Callithrix jacchus: one gene and its partners. The protein of the gene in region 1 interacts with the protein of each later gene in a pairwise test. Links are inferred from orthologs where the notes say so. Each region holds a gene or a part of one and is shown in the gene's direction. Other genes may lie near its edges.

The links. The genes of interacting proteins can lie anywhere in the genome.
Region 2: the proteins of TOX4 (region 1) and TBX6 interact in binary tests that used the Homo sapiens proteins (3 or more experiments, as listed by UniProt). The link is inferred for Callithrix jacchus from reciprocal best matches to the Homo sapiens genes TOX4 and TBX6.
Region 3: the proteins of TOX4 (region 1) and BANP interact in binary tests that used the Homo sapiens proteins (3 or more experiments, as listed by UniProt). The two-hybrid records come from large-scale screens. The link is inferred for Callithrix jacchus from reciprocal best matches to the Homo sapiens genes TOX4 and BANP.
Region 4: the proteins of TOX4 (region 1) and FNDC3B interact in binary tests that used the Homo sapiens proteins (3 or more experiments, as listed by UniProt). The two-hybrid records come from large-scale screens. The link is inferred for Callithrix jacchus from reciprocal best matches to the Homo sapiens genes TOX4 and FNDC3B.
Region 5: the proteins of TOX4 (region 1) and ATXN1 interact in binary tests that used the Homo sapiens proteins (3 or more experiments, as listed by UniProt). The link is inferred for Callithrix jacchus from reciprocal best matches to the Homo sapiens genes TOX4 and ATXN1.

Annotation. Positions count from the first base shown.
Region 1 is NC_133509.1:55,995,811-56,001,710, forward strand, and holds the end of TOX4 (TOX high mobility group box family member 4), read left to right. Parts: coding exon 1-362; intron 363-1,682; coding exon 1,683-1,846; intron 1,847-2,922; coding exon 2,923-2,983; 3' UTR 2,984-4,210; downstream 4,211-5,900. Other genes in the region: N(6)-adenosine-methyltransferase catalytic subunit METTL3, read right to left, coding at 4,277-4,388, 5,385-5,497, 5,666-5,734, 5,849-5,900. UniProt on the Homo sapiens protein: Transcription factor that modulates cell fate reprogramming from the somatic state to the pluripotent and neuronal fate. In liver, controls the expression of hormone-regulated gluconeogenic genes such as G6PC1 and PCK1.
Region 2 is NC_133513.1:29,430,858-29,437,695, forward strand, and holds the end of TBX6 (T-box transcription factor TBX6), read left to right. Parts: intron 1-1,293; coding exon 1,294-1,561; intron 1,562-1,664; coding exon 1,665-1,811; intron 1,812-1,888; coding exon 1,889-1,959; intron 1,960-3,809; coding exon 3,810-3,883; intron 3,884-3,965; coding exon 3,966-4,149; intron 4,150-4,222; coding exon 4,223-4,436; 3' UTR 4,437-4,862; downstream 4,863-6,838. Other genes in the region: PPP4C (serine/threonine-protein phosphatase 4 catalytic subunit), read right to left, coding at 5,570-5,699, 5,777-5,966. UniProt on the Homo sapiens protein: T-box transcription factor that plays an essential role in the determination of the fate of axial stem cells: neural vs mesodermal. Acts in part by down-regulating, a specific enhancer (N1) of SOX2, to inhibit neural development.
Region 3 is NC_133521.1:45,664,900-45,671,111, forward strand, and holds part of BANP (protein BANP), read left to right. Parts: intron 1-4,633; coding exon 4,634-4,770; intron 4,771-4,991; exon of another isoform or gene 4,992-5,082; intron 5,083-5,406; exon of another isoform or gene 5,407-5,724; intron 5,725-6,212. UniProt on the Homo sapiens protein: Controls V(D)J recombination during T-cell development by repressing T-cell receptor (TCR) beta enhancer function. Binds to scaffold/matrix attachment region beta (S/MARbeta), an ATC-rich DNA sequence located upstream of the TCR beta enhancer.
Region 4 is NC_133518.1:14,695,025-14,701,236, reverse strand, and holds part of FNDC3B (fibronectin type III domain-containing protein 3B), read left to right. Parts: intron 1-75; coding exon 76-200; intron 201-2,229; coding exon 2,230-2,404; intron 2,405-4,039; coding exon 4,040-4,126; intron 4,127-5,879; coding exon 5,880-6,018; intron 6,019-6,212. UniProt on the Homo sapiens protein: May be a positive regulator of adipogenesis.
Region 5 is NC_133505.1:14,347,302-14,353,513, forward strand, and holds part of ATXN1 (ataxin-1), read left to right. Parts: intron 1-1,569; 5' UTR 1,570-1,729; coding exon 1,730-3,592; intron 3,593-6,212. UniProt on the Homo sapiens protein: Chromatin-binding factor that repress Notch signaling in the absence of Notch intracellular domain by acting as a CBF1 corepressor. Binds to the HEY promoter and might assist, along with NCOR2, RBPJ-mediated repression. Binds RNA in vitro.

The DNA of each region.
Region 1 (5,900 bases):
CAGCAGCAGCTGCTGCTGCTGCTTCTATGCAACTGCCTCCACCCCGACTACAGCCCCCTCCATTACAACAGATGCCACAGCCCCCGACTCAGCAGCAAGTTACCATTCTACAGCAGCCTCCTCCACTCCAGGCCATGCAACAGCCTCCACCTCAGAAAGTTCGAATCAATTTACAGCAACAGCCACCTCCTCTGCAGATCAAGAGTGTACCTCTACCCACTTTGAAAATGCAGACTACCTTAGTCCCACCAACTGTGGAAAGTAGTCCTGAGCGGCCTATGAACAACAGCCCTGAGGCCCATACAGTGGAGGCAACTTCTCCTGAGACTATCTGTGAGATGATCACAGATGTAGTTCCTGAGGTGAGCCTCTATTTTTAAGTCTGTCTTCTAGTCTAGTAAAAATGTGTAAGAACATTTTTGGTTGACCCAATCAAAATGGGGGTTGCTTCAGCAAAAACTTGGTGTGAGGAAGGAAGGGAGGAAGGGAAGGAGGAGAAGAAAGAGAAAGAAAAGAAAAATAGATAAATGGGGGTTGCTACTAGCATTTAATGCCCAGCAACCAGCAGCACAAAACATCCTGCAGATGGGAGTTCCTTACAACAGTGACTTGTCTCTACCACGGTACCCATAGTGTTTTCAGTGAGACACATTAAGACAGTCTTCTGTCCCAGACCACTCCTTAACTAAGCAGAGGAAACTAGTTCAACTAGACAGGATATAGCCTAAACAAGTTACTTTTCAGAGTTGTTTACCCAAGGATCCTAAACTTTAAAAATACGAAGCTTTTCATTTCTCCTAGATCTTAAGTTCCTTCTTAGCTTGATGTTTTAAATGTGTGGGGCAGGGGATATAGCAAAAAAATTTTAACTGGTTCATACCATTGGTTTTTAAGAGAAACATAAATATGGCCAGGCATGGTGGCTCACATCTGTAATCCCAGCACTTTGGGAGGCAGAGGTGGGCAAACCATGAGGTCAAGAGATCGAGACCACCCTGGCCAACATGGTGAAACCCCAACTCTACTAAAAATGTGAAAATTAGCTGGGTGTGGTGGCATGCACCTGTAGTCCCAGCTACTTGGGAGGCTGAGGCAGGAGAATCACTTGAACCTGGGGAGGTAGAGGTTGCAGTGAGCCAAGATAATACTGCACTCCAGCCTGGTGACAGAGTAAAAAACACACACACAAAAAAAACCTTTCAGCAGGAAACTTTATGAATCTCCCTCTTTTTCCTGTTTCTAACAGCACCACATTTTGACTTCTCATAGCCTTCATCTAACTTACTTGAGGTGACTTAGCCTCTACTCACACTCTAATTTTGATTTGATACTGTCAGGAATATTAATGTGTGGCATAAAGCCATTGACAGGTTAGATTAAAATTAAAAGACCACTACCTTTCCACTCCCGCTACTTCACTTGATTAGCCAGGCTTAAGGGGAGAAAAAAGCATTAGCATATGCCCAGCTTTCTCCTGATGGGAAGAATCTTCATGTCATTCAGCTTGGCAAAGTTCTGAAGTGGGACTATTGAGGGGGAGACCAAAAACTCACCTTCTGCAGTTTTACCCCCACTGTGAGGACTTGTAATACCTGTTGTTTCATTGGTTTCTACAGATAATTTAACTAGCTAGCTAGGCAGGGAGCAATCTAATCCACCTTGATGCTCTCTTCCTCTCGTAGGTTGAGTCTCCTTCTCAGATGGATGTTGAATTGGTGAGTGGGTCTCCTGTGGCACTCTCACCACAGCCTCGATGTGTGAGGTCTGGTTGTGAGAACCCTCCAATTGTGAGTAAGGACTGGGACAATGAATACTGCAGCAATGAGTGTGTGGTGAAGCACTGCAGGTGAGCTTACCCTTCCCCTTCTTGTAATTCAGAACTGCTAAATTAATTTTATTGGGAAACATGGTAATCTTGAGCATAAAATAGAGTAGGTTGCTGTTTATCTGGTCTACTAGAAAAGCTCCCCTGCTTAAGACCTTACATTTGCCACATAGGCAAAGGTGACATGATCAGCAGTTCACATTTTTCAGTTACCACATACCTATGTATGCCCTTTAAAAACAGGATAGGCCGGGCACGGTGGCTCACGCCTATAATCCCAGCACTATGGGAGGCCGAGGCGGGTGGATCACGAGGTAAAGAGATCGAGACCATCCTGGTCAACGAGGTGAAACCCTGTCTCTGCTAAAAATACAAAAATTAGCTGGGCATGGTGGTGCGTGCCTGTAGTCCCAGCTACTCGGAAGGCTGAGGCAGGAGAATTGCTGGAACCCAGAAGGCGGAGGTTGCTGTGAGCTGAGATCGTGCCATTGCACTCCAGTCTGGGTAACAACAGCGAAACTCCGTCTCAAAAAAAAAAAAACATTATAATAGGCCAGCTGTGGTGGCTCACGTCTGTAATCCAAGCACTTTGGAGGCCAAGGCAAGTGGATCACCTGAGGTTGGGAGTTCAAGACCAGCCTGACCAACATGGTGACCCCGTTTTACAAAACAAAATATGATAATACATTAATCTGTTAGTGTATACAAATACTAGCTTTTGAATCCTTAGTGCAAATCAGACTATTTAGGGAATTAGAATTTGGGGAAATGGTAAGTGGAATAGTAGCACACAGTAATTTGCTATTTGTGAGGGAAATTGGAGAAGTTCATAAGATTTTACCCCTCTCCCCAGATTCTCCTGGGAATTACCTATAGCTATAGGACAAGGCATTTCTATTTCCTATTTCAAAAACTCTACAGTAAATCAGCATTCCCTCTACTGACAATTCTTATATTTCTGATGTGACACTATGTCACTATGATGCTGCAGAAAATTATTTGGGAACCTAATTGTTTAAGACAGATAAAAAGAATATATCTAGGCTATAATTCTGTTTGTGTATAATTCTGTTTGTGTATGTCTTTTTCTCTCTTAGGGATGTATTCTTGGCCTGGGTAGCCTCTAGGAATTCAAACACAGTGGTGTTTGTGAAATAGTCCTTCCTGTTCTCCAAGCCAGTGAAGAGTTACCTGCTGGGAACATGTCCAAGAGCCTGTTTTTGAAACACAAGCTGGGCTTCTAGTAGTGCCTGATCGCAACCCATGATGGCTGTTCATGTTTCTCCACTTTTCTCCCTTCAGCAGAGGCCACGCTATGGAGCAGGGCCACTGAATTTGCTGTAATCTGGAGATGCTTTTTGCTTTCAACTAGAAGCAAAAATACTAGTGGTAATAGCAGAGGAATGGGTGAAGGGAGTATGGGCAAGCAAAACATAGAGATGGTAAGGGGTGGTGGTGGGGTTGAAGAAACTTGTTGGTATAATTGTCATAGGACTTGCCTAAAATATTATTAAAATGATGGGAGAGTACTCAGCTTTGAGCCTAGGAGAAAACGCCACTGTGTTCATCCATTTTAAAAGGGGTAAGAAATTACAGTAAAGGTTTCCTCTTAAAAAAAATTGTTATTCCCCATTATCACATCAGTACACTGCTTTGAGAACAAAACTTTAATACAGGCATATTGGGCTACATGGAAAATGATATCACCCAGGAGGTTCTTACTACTCTTTACAAATGTTATTTCTGTAGTTACCATCCTTACCTGAGTTATCACAGTTTATGAATCTAAGAGGTAGAACTCTACATCCTTAAGAAATATCTTTAAGAAACCATAGATCTACCATTATTTATTGGAAACAATCTAAAGAAAAACAGACTAGAGAAGCCACCTACTTGTGAGAGAGTAAGTGATAACCTTAAATGGAACTCAAATTTTTACTTTTGAGAAATGCTGTCCTAGAGAACCTCCTCCTCAACGAACCATGTATATATTTATTACTAATTAGTTTGATCCTGTGCATTCCTGTGTTTTTAATGGTTTTAGAGGCTGGGAGTAGAGATGGGGTCTCACTATGTTGCCCAGGCTGGTCTTAGAACTCCTGGGCTCCAGGGACCCTCCACTTCAGCTTCCCAAAGTGCTGGGATTACACGTGTGAGCCACTGCGCCTAGCCTATGATCATTTTAATGTTTCCCATGCACTTGTTTTGTTTGAACACTCACAGCAACCCAGTGAGGTAATACTCCCATTTTAAATATAAGAAATACTACTGAGAGATGAGTTGCACAAGAGTACACACTGATGAGTGGCAGAGCCAGAATGGACTTCAAAATCTCATCTACAATACAAATGTTTATTTAAATAAAGAAGAAAGCTATTGTACAAATACCACTCTTGAGGTTTGGTTTACACAGCCATCACTATGGATTCTTAGCTGTATAAGGAAGTGCTTCTATAAATTCTTAGGTTTAGAGATGATACCATCTGGGTACCTTTGCTTGAACCGTGCAACCACATCTGGGTCTAGTAGGTGGATCCCATCCAGTTGGTTTCCAAGGGTGATCCTGAAATGGGAAAAGGAGGGGCAAACCAGAAATCCTGGAATTAGTTAATATTGTTAAAAGATGCATACCAAATGAAGACTGCCTATCATATCAAATATACCAATTCTTCTATAAAGAGCTTAACATTACAATAGTATATGGTAGAATGAGTAGTTCAGAATTGACATCGATTCTGGTGTTAAAATAGACTGGATCTGAGCTGGGCATGGTGGCTCATGCCTATAATCCCAGCACTCTGGGATGCTGAGGTGGGCCTATCACTTGAAGTCAGGAGTTCAAGACCAGCCTGGCCAACATGGTGAAACCCCGTCTCTACTAAAAATACAAAACATTAGCTGGGCACAGTAGTGCACACCTATAATCCCAGCTACTCAGGTGGCTGAGGCAGGAGAATCACTTGAACCCAGAGGAAGAGGTTGCAGTTAGCCAAGATCTCATCACTGCACTCCAGCCTGGGCCAACAAAGCAAGACTCCATCTCTCAAAAAAAAAAAAGACTGGATCTGTATTATTGGATGGTTAGTAACTAATGCTTAGTCAGGACAGAGTTGCTGCACCAGGGAGTATTCTTTGGATAAGCAAAATGCTAGCAGCATGTGTTTTAAGCTCTATTAACGGGGTGAAAGATAAAATAATTGATTACATAGATAACTTCATAACCACCAGGGGGCAGATTCAATACATCACATAGAATGGCTGAGGAAGATCCTTAGGTTATCAGAGTAGAAACCCTAGGGAGCCGTGCTTTGGATCCTAGAACCTGTTGAGTTTTAATGAATATTTGTAAAATCTCATAAAACAATTTAAATACAAGCTTAAGTGGCTTATGAATCCTCTGATGCTCATTTATAGACTCATGGAATATAATGTGAAGTTCTACTAAGTTCTGTATTTAATCATAAATAGCCCCTTGAAGACTAGTTTGTTCTCTGGTCACATTTCTGAATTTAATCATAAATAGCCCCTTGAAGACTAGTCTGGTCTCTGGTCACATTACCAGTTGGGTTGCACATTATGTGGTCGTCCAAATAACTCAATCTTGCGAGTGCCAGGAGATAGTCTTTCAATCATGCCATAGATTTCATCTGGTTTATGACTGGTGGAACGAACCTAGGAGATAAAAACTAGCTGCTTTTTAAGTTACATAAGATTGCAATCCTAGCCCTTTCAATTACGTTTATGATCTAAATGGAAAAAATCTGGATGAGAATACACCTGACATGAATAACTGATACCAACAACAATGTGGAAGCTTTGGAGGCCTGGGGAAGCACATACCTCAGCTACGATCACATCACAATCCAGACCCTGGTTGAAGCCTTGGGGATTTCCTTTGACACCAACCTGCTACCACAGATAACAGATTACCTTATGAAACCACACCTTTTGAACTTTTTCTCAATAAGAAATCAAATGATTGTTTATGCTCCATCTATTGAATCGGGCCCCACTGCTGCTCACCAAGCAGTGTTCCTTCCCATGGTTCAACCAGTGACCTGTACGGCCTGTCCGA
Region 2 (6,838 bases), on another chromosome or scaffold:
CTGAAGGAAGTTCATATAAAAGCTGCAGATTCTGGTGTTGGAGTCAGGGGAGGAGAGGAGGGTGGGGACACGAAGCTCCTGGCAACATTTCAGGGAGAAAAGTTAGTCACCCCTGCTTCTGTAAATAGGCTTTGAAGGGTAGGAATCATGGCTGTCCCTAACCTGCCGTGTGACAGATCACCTAACCCATCTGTCCTGTTTCCCCAAATGTAAAATGAGAAAGAAAACCTTCCAGCTCTAAGATTCTGCCCTCTGGGTTCTTTTTTCCTTTATTATTATTACTATTTTTTTGAGACTGTTGCCCAGGCTGGAGTGCAGTGGCGTGATCTCTGCTCACCCCAACCTCCGCTTCCAGGGTTCAAGCGATTCTCCTGCCTTAGCCTCCCAAGTAGCTGGGATTACAGGCGCATGTCACCATGTCCAGCTAATATTTGTATTTTTAGTAGAGAGGGGTTTCACCATATTGGCCAGGCTGGTCTGAAACTTTTGACCTCTTGATCCTCTCACTTTGGCCTCCCAAAGTGCTGGGATTATAGGCATGAACCACCACACCTAGACCTTTTTTCATTTTTTAGAGACAGATCTTGCCTTGTTTCCCAGGCTGGAGTGCAGTGGTGCAATCATGGCTCACTGTAATCTTGACCTCCCAGACTCAAGTGACCCTCCTGCCTCAGTCTCTAGAGGAGCTGGGACTATCAGTGTGCACCACAGTGCCTAATTTTTTAATTTTTTGAGGCCGGGTGCAGTGGCTCACGCCTGTAATCCCAGCACTTTGGGAGGCCGAGGAGGGTGGATTACGAGGTCAAGAGATCGAGATTATCCTGGTCAACATGGTGAAATCCCATCTCTACTAAAAATACAAAAAATTAGCTGGGCACGGTGGCGCGTACCTGTAATCCCAGCTACTCAGGAGGCTGAGGCAGGAGAATTGCCTGAACCCAGGAGGCGGAGGTTGCGTTGAGCCGAGATCGTGCCATTGCACTCCAGCCTGGGTAACAAGAAGGAAACTCCGTCTCAAAAAAAAAAAAAAATTTAGAGATGGGGTCTCACTATGTTGCCCAGGCCGGTCTTGAACTCCTGGGCTAAGAGATCCTCCCACCTTGGCCTCCCAAATGTGTTGGGATTAGAGGTATGAGCCACCGCCTCCAGCCTGCCCTTTGGGTTCTAATTCCACCACCCTGGATGTTTCTCTGACAGCCCTGGGGAGCCTGCCGCTATGTCCTGTTGCTGGTGCTGGGCTCACCCCTGGCCAGTGGGTAGCTCCAGGCCTCTCCTGTTCCCTCCCTTGCACAGGCGCATGTTCCCTGCCTGCCGAGTGTCAGTCACCGGCCTGGACCCGGAGGCCCGCTACTTGTTTCTTCTGGATGTGGTTCCAGTGGACGGGGCTCGCTACCGCTGGCAGGGCCGGCGCTGGGAGCCCAGCGGCAAGGCAGAGCCCCGCCTGCCTGACCGAGTCTATATTCACCCCGACTCTCCTGCCACGGGTGCCCATTGGATGCGGCAGCCTGTGTCCTTCCATCGTGTCAAGCTCACCAACAGCACGCTGGATCCCCACGGCCACGTGAGGCCCAGGCTGGGACTCCAGGATAGGGGATGGGGGTGCTAGAAGAGAGGTCAAGGCTGAGGCACAGGGCAGGGAATCATTCCCATTTCTTCCCTCCCAGCTGATCCTGCACTCCATGCACAAGTACCAGCCCCGCATACATCTGGTTCGAGCAGCCCAGCTCTGCAGCCAGCACTGGGGGGGTATGGCCTCCTTCCGCTTCCCCGAGACCACATTCATCTCTGTGACAGCCTACCAGAACCCACGGGTGAGTGCCCCTGCTTGAGGGGGTGGTGGCGCCCTGCCCAGGCCACAGGAGCTTTGACCCTGGACGTGTGCTCCCAGATCACACAACTGAAGATTGCAGCCAATCCCTTTGCCAAAGGCTTCCGGGAGAACGGCAGAAACTGTAAGAGGTGGGCATTATTCATTCGCTCGTTCATGCATTCAACAAATGTTTATTAATCGCTCATGGTGTGCCAGGCTCTGTGCTGGACACAGTGGAATGCAGTGGTAAGTAAAAACATTCATTCTCTGACTCAGCAAATACTTATTTAGTACCTGCTTTGTGCCAGGGACACTTCCAGGAACTGGAAAGAAATCAAAGCAAACCAAAGCCCCTGCCCTCATGGAACTGACATTCTAGTGGAGAGAGCAGACAAGAGAAATAAATCAAATGTGGTCTGTTAGGAAGCTAAAGAGAAGAGAAACCAGGCGTGGTGGCTCATGCCTGTAATTCCAGCACTCTGGGAGGCCGAGGCGGGTGGATCGGCTGAGGTCAGGAGTTCGAGATCAGCCTGGCCAACATGGTGAAACCCTGTTTCTACTAATAATACAAAAATTAGCCAGGTGTGGTGATGCATGCCTGTAATCCCAGCTATTCAGGAGGCTAATGCAGGAGAATTGCTTGAACTCAGGACATGGAGGTTGTAGTGAGTCAGGTGCCATTGCACTCCAGCCTGGGCAACAAGAGTGAAATTCTGTCTCAAAAAAAAAGAAGAGAAATCAATCAGGGAAGCATAGGAAGGACTGGGGTGAGGTATTAGAGGCCTGGAAAGGCCTCAGTGGTAAGAGGACACAAGAAAAAGAGCTGAAGGAAGTACAGGAGGGAGCCAGGTGGGTATATGGCAGAGCATACTAGGGAGTGGGAACAGCATGTGCAAAGGCCCTGAGGTGGGACTGTGCCTGCAGCGTGGCATGAGTGGGGAGTGGGTGAGGAGTCAGGTAGGGGATGGAAAGCCAGGTTATGTTGAATAGTAAAGGTTCAGTAAGGCCATGGGAACTGTTCTAAGTACAGCCCCTCAGAGTTGGCCCCTGCCCTCAAGGAGCTTAAGAGACAGACATGAACCAAGGAGTCACTCCATCAAATGCAAAAGTGGAACAGTGACAGATGTTACGAGGGTGGGGTATGTGCTCTCAGAGGTCAGGGAGGACTTCCTTGAGGAACCTGTGCTTGCACTGAGACAAGGATGGGTTTGGTGGTTCATGGCTGTAGTCCCAGTGCTTTGGGAGGCTGAGATGGATCACTGGAGCTCAGGAGTTGGAAGCTGCAATGAGCTGTGACCGTGCCACTGCACTCCAGCCTGGGCAACAGAGTAAAACCCCATCTCAAATTTTAAAAATGACAAGAAAGCCAGGCATGGTGGCTCATGCCTGTAATCCCAGCACTTTGGGAGGCCGAGGCAGGTGGATCACCTGAGGTCAGGAGTTTGAGATGCCTAACATGATGAAACTCCTAAAAATAAAAATAAAAATAAAAAAAATTAGCCGGGCATGGTGGCTTGTGCCTGTAATCCCAGGCTACTTGGGAGGCTGAGACAGGAAAATTGCTTGAACCCAGGAGGTGGAGGTTACATTCCAATTTGGGCAACAGAGGGAGACTCCGTCTCAAAAAATAAAAAAGAAAAAAGATTTAACAGATGAAGAGCGGACAGAAGAGGGTTCCAAAGAGAGGCTGAGAGTGGAGATGGGGCAGAAAGATGAGCTGGGTGAGACCATGCCCTGGTCTTTTTGCTGGGAAGGAGTTTCCATTGATACTAAACACAATAGGAAAGCATGGAAGCTTCAGCAGGGACTAAATCCTAGCTCTGCCACTTTCTACTTATTTCATTTTCTGGCCTTCAGTTTCTTCATCTGTGAAATGGGTATAATGATGGCCCCTACCTGACAGGGTCCCTGGGAGGGTGAAATGCCTGGCACTGGTTAAGTACTTATTACTACGACCATGGCCATCATCATCATCATCATCACCACCACTGTTCCCCAGGGAGCGAGACGCCCGTGTGAAGAGGAAACTGCGGGGCCCAGAGCCAGCAGCCACAGAGGCCTGTGGGAGCGGAGGTGAGTGTAGTCCCGATGGCGATGGGGCCAGGCCCGAGACACCGATCCTCCGTAGCCCAACCTCTCCCTTCCCTTTCCCTAGACACCCCAGGTGGTCCCTGCGACTCCACCCTGGGTGGAGACATTCGTGAATCAGATCCAGAGCAGGCCCTAGCCCTGGGGGAAGCCACCACTGTCCCGGTGCCTCCGTGCGGTGGCCCCAGTGCCGAGGCCTACCTCCTGCACCCTGCAGCTTTCCACGGGGCTCCCAGTCACCTTCCCACCAGGTGAGTAGGACAGGGGACCAGATGGTGCTGCGGGTCCCTCTGCCCTGCTCTGACATCCCTCTCTCCATGTCAGGAGCTCCAGCTTCCCGGAGGCTCCAGACTCTGGGCGCTCAGCCCCCTACTCAGCTGCATTTCTGGAGCTGCCACCTGGGCCAGGGGCCTCTGGGTACCCAGCGGCTCCGCCAGCAACACCCTTTGCCCCCCACTTTCTCCAAGGGGGCCCCTTCCCTCTACCATACCCTGGGCCTGGGGGCTACCTGGATGTGGGCTCCAAACCCATGTACTGAGCCAATGCTGGGCCCTTCTGCCTCCATCATAAACCTCCTGCTCCCTTCCCCCAGCCCTGGAGCCCCCTCACCTCCACCGGCCCCATCCCCCACACCAAATGGCTGCCTTGGGCATGCCCCCCACCCCCCAACTTCACACCTTGATTTCACTCCCACCCCCCTCTGGCTTCAAAGCCCAACCAAGGCTGCTGGGAGTCCAGCTGGGGCCAGCTTCCCCTTCCCGCCTCTCACCTCTGTGTGAATGGAGGGGACTCTGCCTGGCCAAATGGGGCCACAGACCAGCATCCCCACCTCTCAGGCCTCTCCATGGACTCTGGGAGGCTCAGTCCCCACCACCCCCAACACCACTGGTGCAGGCCACACCAGTCTGTTCTGGGACCAGAGTATTTTTGTTAATAAAATTCAAGAGCCATCGTGCTAAGGAAACATTGGGCTCATGTGTTTGGCCCTGGGCGGGGCAGGGTGAACAAAGGCTTTGCTAGAAGACCCAGGCCCAGATCTAAACCTGTGTTTCCAGCTGCCTGACCTAGCACAGAATCCACTGGCTCTCTATGCCCATCTCCTCTTTGGAGAAATCAGAATCTCATGTTGTCAGTCATTAATAAGGCTGCCATGAGAAGTGAGCCTCTCCCTAGCGCTGGGGAGGCCAGCAGACAGCAGCCCCTGGAGGCCCTGGGTAAGCTGACTGGCCTGAGTCAGGCCCTCCTGCCAGGTCCGGGCCCTGAGGCAGTCAAGGCCCTGACGTCCTCCCGAGGTCCCAGGCCAGCAACCCTGCACATCCCCAACCAAGTCTGTCTGGCACAAACCCAAAGATCATTTTTCTTCTTTTATTAGAATTTTTTTTTTCATTTTTTTTTTCTCAAAATGTTTATCTAAAAACAAACAGAAAAAAGAAGGAAAAAAAGAAAAAAAATTATTGGAAACTTCATGGTTCAAGTGGGGAGAGAGGAGAGGAGGAACATGGAGCTAGGTCTCCAGGCCTCTCCAGAGAAGTCCTCACCCTCAAAGCACCCTCTTGGGGGAGAGCAGAGCTGGAGACAGCCCTCCGCCCACGCCCAGCCTCCATCTGGGGAAGAGGCAGAGTCACAGTGGTCCGAGGGCCAGAAGGGCTGGAGGGGGCAGGGGCCAGGGGCTCACAGGAAGTAGTCGGCCACCGGCTTCTTGGAGGGGATGCCCCGTGTCTCTTGGGGAGCAGCCTCAAAGATGATAAAATCTTTCTGGAGATGCTCGTCCAGCTCCAAGATGGCTGCCACATTCCCACAGCTGGAAGGCAGGACGGCAGGGTCAGGAGCAGCTGGGCTCAGATGTCCATCCCTCCCAGCCCGGCCCAGCCGGCTCACCGGTAGCAGTAGTTGGGTGCTGACCACACAGTGAGCACGGTCTCGTTGAAGTGCCACTTGTAACCTTCCATCACCAGTTGGTGGGCACGGCAGATCATGTCAATGTCATTGGCTGCGTTGAACTGGGCCACCACATCACTGCCAAACAGGTAGCCAGCCCCTCGGGGGCTCACACCCCAGCCTGTGGTGTCTGATGGGGCAAGGGAGGGATGGAGGTCCTCAGGGTTCTCTGGCTGCCAGTGCTGCCCCTTGAGGTGAGCAGCCGGGCCCCTCCCAAAGGCCACCAGAGGCCCAGGGGACCAGAGCATGGGGCCTGAATATGGTCTGGGGAATGGTAGGGGTCAGGACAGCAAAGGTAGGGGCAGATAAGCTCCAGAGAAGAAAGAACCAATGGCTGGGGCCCCCTCTGAATCACAGTGATCATACAATTCCCTGTCCGAACAGCACACGGGAGTGAAAGCGGTGGTCCCAGAGACGTTAAGGGCACTCTGTGCTGTCACAGAGCAGTCGGGAGTGGCTGTGGAGCAGCAGCTGCATGTGTCTGTGTGTCTGTGCTGCAGCAGAGGCTGCCTGTGCATGTGTGTGTACATGTGTGTGTGTGTGCTGGAGCAGAGGCTGCCTGTGCATGTGTGTGTACATGTGTGTGTGTGTGCTGGAGCAGAGGCTGCCTGTGCATGTGTGTGTACATGTGTGTGTGTGTGCTGGAGCAGAGGCTGCCTGTGCATGTGTGTGTACATGTGTGTGTGTGTGCTGGAGCAGAGGCTGCCTGTGCATGTGTGTGTACATGTGTGTGTGTGCTGGAGCAGAGGCTGCCTGTGCATGTGTGTACACATGTGTGTGTGTGTGCTGCAGCAGAGGCTGCCTGTGCATGTGTGTGTACATGTGTGTGTGTGTGCTGCAGCAGAGGCTGCCTGTGCATGTGTGTGTACATGTGTGTGTGTGTGCTGGAGCAGAGGCTGCCTGTGCATGTGTGTGTACATGTGTGTGTGTGTGCTGGAGCAGAGGCTGCCTGTGCATGTGTGTGTACATGTGTGTGTGTGTGCTGCAGCAGAGGCTGCCTGT
Region 3 (6,212 bases), on another chromosome or scaffold:
GTTCTTCCTGAAGCTTCAGGAAGTGGTTTCCTGGGCTGTTTTGGTAGTTATCAGATACTCGGCCTCAGCTGCTGCCCAGGGCTTTGAGGACGGGAGGTGGCTGGCTGGTGTGGGCCACACCAGTTGTGTCCCTACAGCAGCGCTTTATTGGGAGACGTGTGTTGTGAAGAAGCTCTTCTATTCTAGGCCTTTGTGCTACAATTAGGAATTCTGCCTTGGGTCTGTAGAGAGGCAGCAGTCCTGGGATGTGGTGAAGGCCTTGGCTGAAATACTGTGTAGCACAGTAACCTGTGGCCATGGAAATGGGGCTGTGGGAATATTGCTCATGACCTGAATTACGCCCTTGAATATGCATAGTGAGGCAGCAGAGAGTGGACCTGAGAACTAGACTTAGGGTCGGTTACCATTTTCTATTACAAAGATATGTGGAAGTTGACTAAAAATCTATGTGTGATGATTCTTACAGTGTCTGTCTCTAGATAGTAGGATAATTTTTGTTTTTCTCTTTCATTATCGTTTTTCATTTATTTCCAATAAGCCCGCATTAGTTTTATAGTTTTAAAAAATGCCATTTAAAAGCCAGAGAGGACAGGCATGGTGGTTTACGCCTGTAATCCCAGCACTTTGGGAGGCCGAGGCAGGCAGATCACCTTGGGTTAGTGGTTCGAGACCAGCCTGGACAACATGGTGAAACCCTGTCTCTACTAAAAATAGAAAAATTAGCTATTCAGGAGGCTGAGGCAGAAGAATCTCTTGAATCCAGGAGGTGGAGGTTGCAGTGAGCTGAGATTGCGCCATGTACTGCAGCCTGGGGGGACCCCCCCCCCAAAAATAGGGGAGATTTCTGCCTTTGGTCAGGCATAGTAGCCGGAACCAGATTGAATCCTCTTGCCATCGAAATCTGGACAAAAATGTATGAATCAGCTGTCCTAAGACGTTAGACAGGCAGCAGCGCAGGACTGTGGTCTTTGAGGGAAGGAACATGAGAGGAGGGGTGCCACTGGAGCAGCAGGGGGTGCCAGGCAGAGCACAGCACAGTCACTGCCTTCAGGAGATGGATTGGAGAGGAGCAAGGCTGAGGCAGCTGCAAGTTGTGGAATCAAGTTCTTAAAAGCAGAGAGACAGAAAAGAGCTCCAGCGTCTGTCCAGGGGCCTCCTTGGGCCTTTGGGGACTTCCAAAGCAGGCATGAGCTGAAGGGTCCCTAAGCTCACACCAGGCTGGGTGGTGGCTGGATTCCCAGCAGCCAGAGTGGAGAATCCGCAGTGATCAGTCACTGCAGTAGCCAGCCCTGCCTGCTGGTGGGGCTCAGCTGTCTCTAGAGTACAGGCGGGGCTTAAAACAGCCTGAGAGGGAGCACACTGAACCACAGCAGCAGCGCTTTCCAAGACAGACAGCAAACCTAGACACCCAGCAAAATAAAGTTACAGTGTCCAGTATCCAGTCACGAGTACCAAGAAGCAGGAGATGTGACCTGGGATCAGAAAAGCCAGTCAGTGGAAGGAGACCCTGCCTGGAAGTAACTGACAGGGCATCGAAGTCCATTAAATTACATACAAGGATCTGAAGGAGAAAGGAACACAGCAGGGAGAGGAAAGGAGACATAACACCACCTGGAGCTCCTGCACTCGAAAGGCGAGGAGAGCGGCTGCCAGGCCTGCCCTCCGTGTGTCTCAGGTACGTGCGTGTGGCAAGGTTAGCGGCCTGTTCCATCCCACGGGGAACCAGAGCCCAGGTTAAATGACTTCCCAGGACCTTAGTGAGCAAGAAGCTGCTGTTGTGTAACCTGACAGGTGGGCCGGCCTGCGTTATTAGGACACTGAAAGATCTCGAAGGGGTAAACTTAACCCGGTGCAATTCCACTGCTGCAAATGGAGCTCAGAGCATTTGTGCGGGAGCAGCCTGCGAGGCTGCGTGGTGTGCAGGAGCCTCCTTGGAGCCCGTGCGGTTGGAAGGTGCACACCGGGGCACACCCATTCTTAGTTTGTATGCCCTGTGGCCCCAGGGGAGCTGTGTGGGGACGGACTATCACTGTGGCAGTGGGCTGGAAGCCATTGTCTTTGGGAAATGGTTAGAAATGGAGATTTCACAAGGTTTGATAATGGTTTGTTAGAAGCCTGGAGAAGTGATGCGTCAGTGAAGAATGAGGTTGGGTTTGCAGGTCCTAGGAGGGTCAGTGAAGGAACAGCAGGTTCGGGGAGGTGGGCTTCAGCCCAGCTGGGATTTTGTCATCTTCCTGGGGTCCACAAGGCTTGCTCAAGCACTTGTGCTGGTGAGTGCTCTGTAGCTGCTCAGGGGGACAGCAAAGCGCCGTGGCCTGGGGGAGGGTGCTTTGGGACATGGCTCATCTCTGCAGGTGCTCAGGTGGGGTCAGGGTCTTCATTCAACATGCAGGTGGTCCACCTTCTAATAACATGGCCCATCTCTGCAGGTGCTCAGGTGGGGTCAGGGTCTTCATTCAACATGCAGGTGGTCCACCTTCTAATAACATGGCTCATCTCTGCAGGTGCTCAGGTGGGGTCAGGGTCTTCATTCAACATGCAGGTGGTCCACCTTCTAATAACATGGCCCATCTCTGCAGGTGCTCAGGTGGGGTCAGGGTCTTCATTCAACATGCAGGTGGTCCACCTTCTAATAACATGGCTCATCTCTGCAGGTGCTCAGGTGGGGTCAGGGTCTTCATTCAACATGCAGGTGGTCCACCTTCTAATAACATGGCCCATCTCTGCAGGTGCTCAGGTGGGGTCAGGGTCTTCATTCAACATGCAGGTGGTCCACCTTCTAATAACATGGCCCATCTCTGCAGGTGCTCAGGTGGGGTCAGGGTCTTCAGTTGGAGCTGAGTTCCCCACGTTCAGCATGCAGGTGGACCACATTTGAATTACATGAAAGTAGGATTCTGATTCAGGGTAGCTGGGCAATTTCTAGCATGTTGCGATTATTGACATTTTATTATGTGGCCTGGCACGGTGGCTCAGCTGTCATCCCAGCACTTTGGGAGGCTGAGGCAAGCAGATCATTTGAGGACATGAGTTTGAAACCAGCCTGGCCAACATGGTGAAACCCTGTCTTTACGAAAAATACAAAATAAATTAGCCAGGTGTGGTGGTGGGTGCCTGTAGCCCCAGCTACTTGGGAGGCTGAGGCAGGAGAATCGTTGGAACCGGGAGGCGGAGGCTGCAGTGAGCTGAGACCGCACCACTTGCACTCCAGCCTAGGCAACGGAGCGAAACTCTCCAGAGGAAAAAACATTTTATTATGTTACTTTAAAAATTGTATTCAGTGCAACGTGTGTACTATGGCAATTTAATACCTACCATTAGCTATGGGTGAACAACTCATGGAAACCTTTTTTTTTTTTTTTGGAGATAGTCTTACTCTGTTGCCCGGAACTGAGTGCAGTGCTGTGATCTCGGCTCACTATAACTTCCTATTCCTGGGCTCAAGCGATTCTCCTGCCTCAGCCTCCCAAGTAGCTGGGGCTACAGGCATTTGCCAGCATGTCTGTGTAATTTTTGTATTTTTAGTAAAGATGGGGTTTCACCATGTTGGTCAGACTGGTCTCAAATGCCTGACCTCAAGTAATTCACCCACCCCAGCCTTTCAGAGTGCTGGGATTACAGGTGAGCCACCACATGTGGCCCACGTTCTTTAATCATCAGAAATTTTATGGTTTTTGTTTTTCTCCATGCATTCATATCAGCGTTCGACTTCTCTCGCAGAATTTCATCTTACTGCTTTTTTTTGTTTGAGACGGAATCTTGCTCTGTTGCCGAGGCTGGAGTGCAGTGCTGCCATCCCAGCTCACTGCAGCCTCTGCCTCCCGGGTTCAAGTGCTTGTCCCGCCTCAGCCTCCTGAGTAGCTGGGATCACAGGCGCACGCGACCGCACCCGTCTAATTTTTGTACTTTTAGTAGAGATGGGGTTTCACCATGTTGGCCAGGCTGGTCTCAAGCTCCTGACCTCTGGTGATCTGTCCGCCTTGGCCTTTCAAAGTGCTGGGATTACAGGCGTGAGCCACTGTGCCCAGCCCTTATTACGTGTCTATGCATTAACTTTTTTTGTTAGTTGTCATAATTCTCTGCAAGAAAATTATGTGTATGCGTTGAAAATTAAAAGCTTTTCTGTGCTCTTAATATTCTAAGTGTTTAAGAAAATTATGATTGCGGTATCATTATAACGAAAATATGCAGTACATCAAAGCACATTCTTGTTTTGATTAAACACAGCACATACATTTGTTGGAAATGTAGCTTTAAGTGCGTGGCTGAGGTTTTTTCCCTATTAGTTGAATTACCCATGGACAGATACTGCCGGCCTGAAACAGCTTTTGATGTCCACTTGCAGAACTTCATTCATTTGAATAAGTTGGGACTAGAAGGGGTTTTGTCATGGCAGCGTCACTCCACTCAGCCCATCTGCGTTCCATGTGGGAAGCCTCAGCTCCTAAGACGCTCTCTTAGTGACCTCTGCAGAAGAGTGGAGGCGGTGCGAGTGAAGGAGGAATGAAGCATTTCCTCTTCTCTGCTGTGGGAGTAGAGTGAGGGATGGACAGGGGTGCGGGGGCCCATGTGCTGCCGGAAGCGATGCCTAAGAAACTTCTCGTTCACCTCATTCGCACCTGTCGCCCCACAGAGCCGATGATGAGTACCCCACCGCCCACCAGCGAGCTCCCGCAGCCACAGCCGCAGCCGCAGGCGCTGCATTACGCCCTGGCCAACGCGCAGCAGGTGCAGATCCACCAGATAGGAGAAGACGGACAGGTGCAAGTAGTACGTACCCTCCCCACCATGCACCTCGGGCAGGGCGGGCGGTGGGGCGGGCCACCGCTGCGTTTTGGGAGCACAGTGATAGCTTGGGAGGAGGCATAGGGACCCCATTTAAAGGAGAGGCGATCGTGGCTGTGAGCTCTTGCATTTTGCAGATGTGGGCAGCTGCCGCAGTACCTAGGGGTTGAGGCACATGGTGGGGTGCAGGCATTCGCTCAGCTCACCTTGGTCCTGGGCGATGAGCTGCGAGGGCCAGGCTGTGCTCCTGGGAAGCAGCGTAACAACACTCAGTTCAGAGGCGCAGGCGTCTTCTTACTGAGGGAAAGAAGGTAACTTCCTTCTAGGATCAGTGGCAAAAGCTTGAGGCCATTGTTCCCATGCAGCCTTTCCCTCGGGGTTTCTCAGCACACCCAGGCTGGGCAGACACACCCCAGCAGCACGTCAGTGCCCTGCCTTGCCTATGTGGAGTTCTCTCTCAGGGTTTTGTGGCCCAAGCTGCAGCCAGCCTGATGAACTAGGGACTGACTCCCGGGTGAGGTCCCTCTACAAACACCTTCTGAATTTTGTGGCACAAGAGTAGGGGGGTGGCAGAGAAGGAAGACTTTTTCAGAAGCTTTGCTGGGTGACTAGAAATTGTACCTGTGTCACTAGACACTGCTGATGTTTTTAGTTGCGCCAGCCCCTTCGGGACCTCTGAGGTCAGTGGTCATCGTGTGCCCCCTGGGAACAGGGTCCTCTAGTACTGAGAGCGGGGTGCAGCTCTCGTCTCCTGTGGCTTCAGCACATTGTCTGCAAGGGGGAAGGCTTCCAGAAAATGCTGGCGCGTTTAGGTGGGGCATTATCCTTTCTCTTCCACAGGAGATGGGACAGTCATGAATAGTGAATTTCCCAGGCTAATTCAACTCATATGACACTCACAAAGGCAGCTACTCTCATCTTGTTAGTATGGGGCTCTTTGAAAGGGTTCCAGAATACGTAACAGTACCCCCTATGCCATAATGCTTACATAGAACATTCTACAGGAGTTTATTTTAAGGTCCATTTTGACTAAGAGTAATTTCAGATAAGATAAGGAGTATTCATTTCATTTATAGGTTTATAGGAATTGTCTGCCTTATGTATAAACATTGGATTCTTGAATTTTTTTGTTTTTTTGGAATCACATTTGTGTTGACTCAAGCTGTTTAAATAGTCATATGAGTGTTTCTTTGATTTAAAAAACATTGCCTGTTGTGTTCTGAGTGTGGGCGCACAAACGGCTCTCCCGCTCCCGGCCACGCTCGGCCTGTGTAGCCTCGCAGCACCCCCAGAGAGCTGAGCGTATCATTTGGAAAGAGGGGTTATTCTCATTTTTCTGTTTCCCTTCTTTTCTTTGTGTCGTGCACATTTTAAAATGTACTTAGTTTAGTGACATTCAGAAATGTCAATACCTTTCCTCAGACCTG
Region 4 (6,212 bases), on another chromosome or scaffold:
AAGATGCTCCTTCGCTTGTTTAGGGTTATCTGGTTTTTAAAAAAGTATGTACATGGTTTCACTGTTTGCTTTTAGGGAAAAAGGAACAGTGGTTTCAGACAGTGCTTCTTTGGGAGCCAGAAACACTGCAAGTTGACAAAGCTTTGTCCGGCAATGGGGTACACGTTCAGGCTGGCTGCTCGAAACGACATTGGCACCAGGTATGACATTTCCTTGCCCTCCTGCCCTTCAGCCTTTGGATGGTGACCTTGAGCCTTCTTGTACGTCATTGGAAGGCATGAGGAACCCCACCGCCTCCACACTAAATCAACTTGAGGTTTTCTAGGAGGGAACCCTAATCTGAGGGGTGAAGGCCCCCTCTAAGCTGGTGAATGTCACTATGGCCTCTGCAGTCTTGCAAGCTGTATTGTGAAGACCCCACCAGGCCTCTAAGAATCAAGGTAAAGGTAGCAGTAAGGAATTGAAAGGAATTCCTCTTGGGGCTTTACTTTTTTTAGATCACATGCCTTTTTCTCTTTATCACTTTAGCAAGCCCTTCATTCAGTTGCCCTTTTTCAATTATGTGAGAGTTTCCGGGTACAAAGAAATTGCTGCTGGGCCAGCCATTGTTGTTAAGCCCAGGGCGGATACAGAATTGGAGAAAACCTGGACTGTCTTGGAGGCCTCTGCAGGCCTCTAGGCTGTATGAGAAAGGCAGGAACTCGTGTACTGTAAGGTATCAATTGACCAAAGAGGCTTTGGAAAGGCCACGTTTCAATTGCACTTGCAGGGTGACTCTTGATTAAGGGAAAAATCTTTTTCTTTCATCACTGCTTGTTGAAATCTTCTTAAAGGTTTTGCACGTCGGTGGTCTCCAACCTTCTTTCCAACCTAAAGAGGCTTTTTAACATCACAAAGTTTTACAGACCTGCCTCCGCCACCATGGTAGCCATTATAATTGTAGAGTTCACTGGTTGAAAAAGTCATACTGATAAAGCCTTCTGTGGCTCAAGATTTTTTAAAAGAATTGGAAGCATCCGCAAACTTTGGAAAAACAGCACTTGTATATATTGGTAAAACATTTATGTCATCCACCAATATTTGTTGCTCACATTGATTTGAAGCTTCCTTGACCCATAAATTGATAAACATTGCATTATGCTATGACTTCTGTCCAGTGTTTTTGGGAGAAGGTGGGGGGACTTTTTCTTTTTCTTTTTTGAGACAGAATCACACACCGTCACCCAGGCTGGAGTGCAGTGGCGCGATCTCGGCTAACTGCAGCCTTCACCTCCTGGGTTCAAGCAATTCTCCTGCCTCAGCCTCCAGAGTAGCTGGGACTACAGGCGCATGCCACCATGCCCAGCTCCTTTTGTATTTTTAGTAGAGACTGGTTTCACTGTGTTAGCCAGGATGGTCTCCATCTCCTGACCTCATGATCTGCCCACCTCAGCCTCCCAAACTGCTGGGAGCGGGGAAATGAATTCTTAAGTACAATTGTCTTTCAGTTTCCACAGGGGATTGGTTTCAGGACTTCCCTCACTTCCCTGCCATGGATACCAAAATCTATGGATGCCCAAGTCCCTGATATAAAGTGGCATACTAGGCTGAGTGCAGTGGCTTACTCCTGTAATCCCAGCACTTTGGGAGGCTGAGGTGGGTGGATCACGAGGTCAAGAGATCAAGACCATCCTGGCCAGCATGGTGAAACCATGTCTCTACTAAAAATACAAAAATTAGCTGGGCATGGTGGTGCACGCCTGTAGTCCCAGCTACTCGGGAGGCTGAGGCAGGTGAATTGCTTGAACCCGGGAGGTGGAGGTTGCCGTGAGCCGAGATCGCACCACTGCACTCCAGCCTGGCGAAAGAGTGAGACTCTGTCTCAAAAAAAAAAAAGGCCTAGTATTTTATAACCTGCACACATCCTTCCCTCCTTAAATCTTCTCTAACTTGCTTGTAATATCCAATATAATGCCTACACATCACTTCATTCACGTGGACTCAAGATGTGGAACCCAGGGATACAGAGAGCCAACTGTGTATTGTCCTGTGACTTGATGTGTGTGTCTAGAAGATCGCTGGTGGGGGGATAGGGAAGCTGAGGGTGATTGCAGGGAATATCACACAAAGGATCCTTGCCTGGCTTTGCTAGACTAAGTTGGATAGTGTGCCTGCTGAGCCTTCCTCTTTTAAAAACGCCAAGCCTCTTCACATGCTTCTAGCTGTGTGCCTCACTTTGTTTCTCTGCAGTGGTTACAGCCAAGAGGTGGTGTGCTACACATTAGGAAACATCCCTCAGATGCCTTCTGCGCCAAGGCTGGTTCGAGCTGGCATCACATGGGTCACATTGCAGTGGAGTAAACCAGAGGGCTGTTCACCCGAGGAGGTGATCACTTACACCTTGGAAATTCAGGAGGATGAAAATGTGAGTTTTGCAGATTTTATGCTTCTCGGTGTTTTGTAGAAATCAACATTGTTATAGCTGCAGGGCACTGTGAAAGTAGATTCGCTGCAGAAGTTCAAAACCAAACTCTTAATTTCGATGCCTGTCACCACCACGACCAACAGCAGCCTGTTCTCTCCCATCTCTGTAAATGACATTTCCATCCTTTCAGCTGGGGAAGCAAAAATCCTTGGAGTCATCCTTGACCCCATATATAATCAGACAGAAACATCCTTTCGAATCTTCCTTGGAAATTATTTAGAAACGAACCATTTTTTATCATCTCCACAGCTGCTACTCTCTTATGAGCCACCTTCATCTCGCCCCTGGATTGTTGCAATAATACAACGTGATTATTGGATTATCGCCACTTAATGTTCCCGACTTCATCCTTACTAGGCTACAGTCTGTTCTCCACACACAGCCTGGGTCTCACAATGGCCACAAGGTCCTGTGTGACTGTGTTCTCCGTTACCGTCCTCCTTCCTTCCCTGTAGTCTCATCAGCCTCTAGTCTGTTCTTGAAACACACCACGTCTGCTGTGGCCTCACGGCCTTTGCAGTTCCTGCCTTCTGGCCGGAATGCCCTTCCAGATATCTTTGCCTGCCTTCCCTCATTTCCTAAAGGTCCACTCTCAAATGTCATCTCTTTGGATGGTCCTTTTCTGATCACCCTGTAGAACAGCACCGTCCAATAGAACTTTCTGCAGTGATGGAAATATTTTAGAATTTGTGCCATATAGTATGGTGGCACCTGTATACCTGTGACTCTCAAGCCTCTGACATAGGGCTTGTTGGACCACAGTACTGTTTTTAATTGTAATAAATTTACATTCAAAGAGCCACATGTGGCTACCATATTTACCTCCAGCAGCTGTAGAAAGCCGTCACTAGTTCCACCACCATACCTTCTTACCTAGTTTTAGTTTTTGTCATAGCACTTAACGCCACGTGACATACGTAGGGGCTTTTCTGTATTGTCTTTTCTTACTGCAATGCAAGCTGCTTGTGGGGCAAGGCCTTTCTAAAAGTTCTTGGGCAGTGCTGAATCCTTAGAGCCTGGAGGTCAGCCCAGCGCAGAGAAGGGGCTGAGTAGTATTTTGATGAGTGAACGATCGAATAATAGAGATAGAACTATTGAATGAGTTTCCTGGATTCAACTTTGAGTGGGATGCTTGCCCTCCTAAAGGATTATGCCCTTTCCCATCTAAGCTGTCCTTTCTCTCTTGGCCAGAAGAGGGCACTGTGTGGTCAGGAAGCTCAGCCACACATTACTGCGTAGCACATGGCAGCTTGATAGTAAAGACCTCAGTACAAAGGGCTTTTTTCATGACAACATTAAAAAGGTTAAATGTGTTTTCAAAAAGTGCTTGACTCCTTTGTCACAATAAATTTGACCGGACCCAGGAGAAATTACGGTGTGATGGAGATGAATTTTTATTTAAAGCTCAAGTGCTATCCACAGTAGTCTGGGCTTCTGATTTTTCTCTTTTGCAGTAGCTGACATTCCTTTGGCCTGTTGCTGATGACGACAGGATAAAAATCCCACATTCAAAGGAAGGTATTTAATGCCCAGAATTTTTGAGACTGATGTTTCTTCCTGGCTTTGCCTTTTCAGGATAACCTTTTCCACCCAAAATACACTGGAGAGGATTTAACCTGTACTGTGAAAAATCTCAAAAGAAGCACACAGTATAAATTCAGGGTGAGTCAGTCGTTTCGCTACCTGTACCGCTGAAAAATGAAACTGTTTTATATTTCACCATTTACCATGTCAGATTGACGCTACAGGTTAAAAAATGCACTTTACATTTTGAAAGTAACATTTATAAAGTGCACACGTGCTTTAGTCTTAAAACCAACTTTTGAGCATAAAAGTCATCCTAATGTGCTGTCATAAATTGCATGTACAGCATGGCCAGGTGCCCTCACCTGGGAGGTGTACACCAGGTTCTGGAGTGCACCCATCACTCGCCTGCACTCCACGCCTTTCTCCTTCTAATCAGACTTCTCTTTGCTCTTCATTTTCCTTTGCTCTTCTGCCATTTATTTTTCCTCATTTGTTTTTAATCTTCTCTTCATTACCCACCCCCTTCCCACCTGGGTGGTCTTTGGTCATTAACAGCCACCATTAATGTTCCTGTAGGTCTGTGTGTGGCCAAGTAAGTGAATATGACTTTATGATCACAAAGACACCAAAACAATGTGCTGCAGCTCCATATTTCCTAATATGGCAAGTGTGCATCTTGGAAGATACGATTGTTTTCTGATTCCACATGTTCTTCTCTAATTGGGGGACCAAATGGTGTTATTTGGCACATAGCAATCACCCAATAAATAGTTGCCAAATTATCCAGTGCAGTATGTGACTATTTGAAGGAAATGATAATTATTTTTTTTTTTTTTTTTGAGGCAGAGTCTCACCAGGCGCCAGACTGGAGTGCAGTGGCACAATCTCGGCTCACTGCAACCTCCGCCTCCTCGGTTCAAGCAATTCTCCTGCCTCAGCCTCCTGAGTTGCTGGGACTACAGGCACGCGCCACCATGCCCAGCTAATTTTTGTATTTTTAGTAGAGACGGGGTTTCACCATGTTGACCAGGATGGTCTCAATCTCCTGACCTTGTGATCCACCCGCCTCGGCCTCCCAAAGTGCTTGGATGACAGGTGTGAGCCACCGTGCCCGGCCAGTGGAAATGATAATTTTTAACATATTTTTTTAACCCTTATTCTCGAAGCTGACTATGAGAACATAGCTATACTGCTAACGTTTCTCCACAAGGTGGCATTACCCTACTCTTTAAAAAGTGGAGCATTTTTTTTTTTTCTTTTTTGAGATGGAGTCTCGCTCTGTCACCAGGCTGGAGTGCAGAGGTGTGAGCTCGGCTTACTGCAGCCTCCAACTCCCTGATTCAAGCTATTTTCCTGCTTCAGCCTCCCAAGTAGCTGGGATTACAGGCACGTGCAGCCACGCCTACCTAAGTTTTGTATTTTTAGTAGAGACGTGGTTCTGCCATGCTGGCCAGGATGGTCTTGATCTCTTGACCTTGTGATCTGCCTGCTTCGGCTGCCCAAAGTGCTGGGATTGGTACAGGCATGAGCCACCGTGCCCGGCCAAAGTGGAGCCATTTTTATGGATTCCCCCACCACCATATTTCCTTCCACAAAACCATACAAACCAGGCGACGACATACTTGTTTTATGCTGTCTTTTTGAAAGGGTAAAAGTGTCTTTAGCTAAAGCCCACCTTATGGTTTTGTTTTTAATTGTTGATAACCAACTATACAGTAAATGATTTCTAGAATAAATACGGTTAAGTCAGTACTTGAGTTTAAAGAGAAAAAATTGTGTGTGTGTCTGATTTTAGGGATCCCTTCATCTCACCTTGTTAAAGAGTGACCATTAATTGAATAATCCCTGATAACTAACGCATGCTAATGTTTCCTCTGTTGTGTTCTAGCTGACTGCTTCTAACATGGAAGGCAAGAGCTGTCCGAGCGAAGTCCTCGTTTGTACGACAAGTCCTGACAGGCCTGGACCTCCTACCAGACCACTTGTCAAAGGCCCAGTTACATCTCATGGCTTCAGCGTCAAATGGGGTATGTTTCGCTGCTGCTGCTGTTTTTCTTCCTTTGGGCAGAGTTTTTTTTAATGATTAATTTTAGTAGTGACTAGCCAAAAAAAAATTATGGATGACATTATTTGCAGAAGTTTTCTGCGTTCAGAATATACCTGTGAAAAACATCCTGAGAATTCTACAAATTGGAATGGACAATTTCATTAAAATGTAATC
Region 5 (6,212 bases), on another chromosome or scaffold:
AGTTGTTCCTTTCCAAGGAGAAAGGGAGGGGACAGTGTCAAGGGAAACTTCAGAGACAACTTGGAGAGGCAGAAAGAGACAGACACACCAAGCGTGTAACTCATTAAGAAAACTTTCAGGCCGGTTGCGGGCTCACTCCTGCATTCCCAGCACTTTGGGAGGCCAAGGTGAGTAGATCATGAGGTCAGGAGTCTGAGACCATCCTGGTGAACATGGTGAAGCCCTGTCTCTAGTAAAAATACAAAAACTAGCCCGGCATGGTGGCCCACGCCTGTAGTCCCAGCACTCAGGAGGCTGAGGCAGGGGAATCCCTTGAACCCGGGAGGCGGAGGTTGCGGTGAGCAGAGATCACGCCACTGCACTCCAGCCTGGTGACAGAGAGAGACTCCATCTCAAAAAGGAAAAAAAAAGAAAACTTTTAATGCAGGAGCCCTATTTTTATATGGTATTTGGGTTTTTTAACCATAATCAAATTTGGTTTTTAACTGTCTCACTCTGTTATGTGAGTGGCCGTACTGGGAATTCTTTTGAAACTTGCAGAGAACAGGATTATTTTTGGCAGCCCCTGCTGAGTTGGCGTGTGTGTGTGTGTGTGTGTGTGTGTGTGTGTGTGTGTGTATTAAGGGAGAGGGAATCGTAGGTCCATTATGGACCCAGAGCTAAGGGGAATCTCAGAGAGTAGTGGCTCTGGCAGGTGAAGATTCAGAATAAAGTGCAAGGACTGCTCTGTACATTCTCTGCTGACCTGCTTTTTCTGAACACCTGGCTCTGAGGGCAGGGCTCAGCTGGTGTCCTGCTCACTAAGGGCTTCATTTTATTATCCAGCCAGGTAAAGGAGAGGTGAGGAATGGAACCAGCATTTCTGAAAAGGAAATTTAAGAACTGCATCATCTACCCTCTAAGAAGAAAAGGCAAAAAAAAAAAGAGCGAGAGAGAGAGAGAGAGTATTGAGAACATTTTAGAGGAGTTGTTAACTCCATTAAGAAGTATATGTGGGCTGGGCACAGTAGTTCATGCCTGTACTCCTAGCACTTTCGGAGGCTGAGGTGGGTGGCTCACCTGAGGTTGGGAGTTCAAGACCAGCCTGACCAACATGGAGAAACCCTGTCTCTACTAAAAGTACAAAATTAGCTGGGCATGGTGGCACATGCCTGTAATCCCAGCTACTCGGGAGGCTGAGGCAGGAGAATCACCTGCACCCAGGAAGCGGAGGTTGCAGTGAGCCGGAGGTTACAGTGAGCCGAGATCGTGCCACTGCACTCCAGCCTAGGCAGCAAGAGCAAAACTTTGTCTCAAAAAAGGAAAAAAAACAGTATAGGTGTTAGAGTGTTCGCTTGGCTAGTGTCTCCATAGCCTTCCTTCGGGCGTGCAGCCACCATGGCTAGAGTTTTACCTGCTTCAGTGCTCAGGCTGCCCTCGGGTTTGGGGAGATCGCACTGAGTCCAGGGCCTAGTCTTAATCTTGCCAAGGATGTTCTTTCCCCAGTGCTGATGTTCTGATGTCCTTTCCCTCCTTCCCTTTCTCCTCTCTTTCCTTTTCCCCTTGTCACTGCCCTCTTCCCTTTCCCAGCATCCAGAGCTGCGGCTGGCCGATCGTACCCACGGGGAGATGATTCCTCATGAAGAGCCTGGATCCCCTACAGAAATCAAATGTGACTTTCCGTTTATCAGACTAAAACCAGACTCAGCCAGACAGTGAAACAGTCACCGTGGAGGGGGGACGGCGAAAAATGAAATCCAACCAAGAGCGGAGCAACGAATGCCTGCCTCCCAAGAAGCGCGAGATCCCCGCCACCAGCCGGTCCAGCGAGGAGAAGGCCCCCGCCCTGCCCAGCGACAACCACCGGGTGGAGGGCGCAGCATGGCTGCCGGGCAACCCTGGTGGCCGGGGCCACGGGGGCGGGAGGCACGGGCCGGCAGGGACCTCAGCGGAGCTTGGTTTACAACAGGGAATAGGTTTACACAAAGCATTGTCCACAGGGCTGGACTACTCCCCACCCAGCGCGCCCAGGTCTGTCCCCGTGGCCACCACGCTGCCCGCCGCGTACGCCACCCCACAGCCAGGGACCCCGGTGTCTCCCGTGCAGTATGCTCACCTGCCACACACCTTCCAGTTCATTGGGTCCTCCCAGTACAGCGGGACCTACGCCAGCTTCATCCCGTCACAGCTGATCCCCCCAACCGCCAACCCCGTCACCAGTGCGGTGGCCTCGGCTGCAGGGGCCACCACTCCATCCCAGCGCTCCCAGCTGGAGGCCTATTCCACTCTGTTGGCCAACATGGGCAGTCTGAGCCAGGCGCCGGGACACAAGGCTGAGCAGCAGCCGCAGCAGCCGCCACCGCCGCAGCAGCACCTCAGCAGGGCTCCGGGGCTCATCACCCCGGGGTCCCCCCCACCCGCCCAGCAGAGCCAGTACGTCCACATTTCCAGTTCTCCGCAGAGCACCGGCCGCACCGCCTCTCCTCCAGCCATCCCCGTCCACCTCCACCCCCATCAGACGATGATCCCACACACACTCACCCTGGGCCCCCCCTCCCAGGTCGTCATGCAATACGCCGACTCCGGCAGCCACTTTGTCCCTCGGGAGGCCACCAAGAAAGCCGAGAGCAGCCGGCTGCAGCAGGCCATCCAGGCCAAGGAGGTCCTGAATGGTGAGATGGAGAAGGGCCGGCGGTACGGGGCCCCGTCCTCAGCCGACCTGGGCCTGGGCAAGGTGGGTGGCAAGTCGGTCCCTCACCCGTACGAGTCCAGGCACGTGGTGGTCCACCCGAGCCCCTCCGACTACAGCAGTCGTGACCCCTCGGGGGTCCGGGCCTCTGTCATGGTCCTGCCCAACAGCAGCACGCCCGCGGCCGACCTGGAGGTGCAGCAGGCCACTCATCGCGAGGCCTCCCCCTCCACCCTCAACGACAAAAGCGGCCTGCACTTAGGGAAGCCGGGCCACCGGTCCTATGCGCTCTCACCCCACACGGTCATTCAGACCACACACAGTGCTTCAGAGCCACTCCCGGTGGGACTGCCAGCCACAGCCTTCTACGCGGGGACTCAACCCCCTGTCATCGGCTACCTGAGCGGCCAGCAGCAAGCGATCACCTACGCCGGCAGCCTGCCCCAGCACCTGGTGATCCCCGGCACACAACCCCTGCTCATCCCGGTCGGCAGCACTGACATGGAAGCGTCGGGGGCAGCTCCAGCCATCGTCACGTCGTCCCCCCAGTTTGCTGCAGTGCCTCACACGTTTGTCACCACCGCCCTTCCCAAGAGCGAGAACTTCAACCCGGAGGCCCTGGTCACCCAGGCCGCCTACCCGGCCATGGTGCAGGCCCAGATCCACCTGCCCGTGGTGCAGTCTGTGGCCTCCCCCGCAGCGGCTCCCCCCACGCTGCCTCCCTACTTCATGAAAGGCTCCATTATCCAGTTGGCCAACGGGGAGCTGAAGAAGGTGGAAGACTTAAAAACGGAAGATTTCATCCAGAGTGCAGAGATAAGTAACGACCTGAAGATCGACTCCAGCACGGTGGAGAGGATCGAAGACAGCCATAGTCCGGGCATGGCCGTGATACAGTTCGCCGTTGGGGAGCACCGAGCCCAGGTAACGTTGGCCCCGGTGGCGCAGGGATGGGAAACCACACCATGATGCCGTCCTCCTCTCCCGGCAAGATGAGTTATTTCTGTGAGGCAGGATTGAGGGTCCTCAGTTACACCTAGACCTCAGACACCGCCTTTCCCCACTCTGTTCTCTAGAAAAAGTAAGCCCCACTTGCCCGGGGACTCTGCTGTGTGTAATGAATGAACCTCCACGCCTGGAGAGAAATGCTAGTGAAGGAGTCCTTGAGACAATTCAGAAACTCACCACTCTGGTTATTTTTTGAATTCTGTTGTTGGGATGTGGGACCCTGATTAGGAAAAGCTGCCGGACTTCAGGTCCTAGTGGTCATTCCGTACTTTTTCTTACCAGGAAAAGACAGAAGATGCCTTTGGAGTGAGGGTGTTAGCTGCCAAAAGAATCACATCCCATGGCAGCATCCATGTTGGAAAATACGTCTTATTAGTGGGGTACAGTGGTGTATGCCTTTGGTCCCAGCTACTCCAGAGGCTGAGGCAGGAGGATCACTTGAGCCCAGGAGTGAGCTGTGGCTGAACCTGTGACTATTACTGCACTTAAGCCTGGGCAACATAGCAAGACCCTGTCTCCAACATATATATAATGTCTTACTATTATTTAGGTATGATAAGGCCGACAGATCAGGAGACAACTCTTTGAAGGGATAGTTTGTTATACTCTGATCCCAAGAGGAAGGGGCACTCAACACCATAAAGTGGGGGCCACCTGGGGAAGCACCACGTGGGTCAGGAGGTAGAGGAAGTGAGGGGAAACGTGGCAAGCAGCAGCCTGTATTGTGGTTTTGTGGGGTGCAGGGTAAGCAGGGTTAGGATTGGCTAGAGTGGACGAATCCAGTGTGCCCTGGGCCTAGGGGTTGTCCCTAGTTGTCTGGTGGTTGGTGCTGGGGTGACCAGTACAGGTGGAAAGGCCGGGCACGGTGGCTCACACCTGTAATCCCAGCACTTTAGCAGGGCGAAGGGGGTGGATCACCACAGGTAAGGAGTTTGAGACTAGCCTGGTCACCATGCTAAAATCCCATCTCTACTAAAAATACAAAAATTAGCCAGGCGTGGTGGCATGCGCCTGTAGGCCCAGCTACTTGAGAGGCTGAGGCCGGAGAATTGCTTGAACGCGGGAGGCAGAGATTTCAGTGAGCTGAGATCGGGCCACTGCACTCCAGCCTGGGCGACAGAGACTCCATGTAAAAGAAAGAGACAGGTAGAAAGCAGCCCTGAGTGTAATGGGCCAATAGAGGGGGCACTTGGGGCGTGGGCGCTGCACTGGTTGGCTGGTTGATTTGCATATGAAAGTCAGGCTCCCCGGTGAGTTCTTTGAAATCTCTAGGAATTAGCTAACCCTAGAAGGGACTATACCTCTGGGGTCCACAAGACACTAAAATATCAAAGCATCAGAAAATAAAAGCATGGTTAATACAATCTGAGAAGTCAGGGCTGTCCCAGGTCACCTGCTGGGCTTGGGGTAAAGTCAGCTGTAGCCAAGATGAGTCATGGGAGAAACTGGAAGAGTGGTTAATTCTCTTAATTTACACAGGCTCCTTCCGTCTACCCTTTTCCAGGTTCCTAGCTCGACCCCATGAATTTATTCCACAGCCCATTTCTTTCACTGCCCAAGTTGCTGGGCGTCCAGCAGGTTCAGCCTGCAGCTGAGAGCTCCCCCTGGTGGTGGAGGCCACTCTCTACCAGTGTTTCCATCTAGGATTTGAGAACACTCAAATGGGACAGAGCCTCCTTCCAACTCAAGTTGAAAATAGTCATGAAATAGCTGCTATTTTGGACGTTCAGATAAAATAAAACAAGCAAAAAAGATAAACTAGGTAATGGTTTGAATTGCTTTGGGCATTTTAAAAAACAATTTGAGACAACGTTTTTCTGTCCCCTGGGCTGAAATGCAGTGGCACAATCATAGCTCACTGCAGCCTTGACCTCCTAGGCTCCAGCGATCCTCCCACCCCAGCCTTCTTAGTAGCTGGGACCACATGTGCATACCACCATGCCCAGCTAATTTAAAAAAAGAAAAAAACATTTTAGTAGATATGGGGTCTTGCTGTGTTGCCCAGGCTGGTCTCAAACTACTGGGCTCAAGCAATCCTTCTGCCTTTTTAGTAGAGACAGGGTTGCAGATGCCCAAATCCCCGAGATTATAGACATAAGTCCCCATGCCTGGCTTTTTTGAACATTGTTTAAAAGGCCAAGTGAGGAAAGGACCAAATTATTTTTCCAGAACTGCTTGTGAATGACTGGATGTAGGGTTTGCACCAAGCCGGGGTCCTGCATTGCCGAGAGCTGTTAGCCCCAAGTTCTTTTGTAATTGTGAGATGTCGCTGTAGGTTTACAATCTTTGGAAAGGCCCAAGAAAGATTTCCCCAAAGATCTGATTTTAAAAAAACTGGCCAGGGGCGGTGGTTCACGCTTGTAATCCCAGCACTTTAAGAGGCTAAGGCAGACGAGTCAGGAGGTCAGCAGATCGAGACCATCCTGGCCAACAGGCTGAAACCCTGTCTCTACTAAAAATACAAAAATTAGCTGGGTATGGTGGTGCATGCCTGTAATCCCAGCTAATTGGGATGCTAAGGCAGGAGAATCGCTTG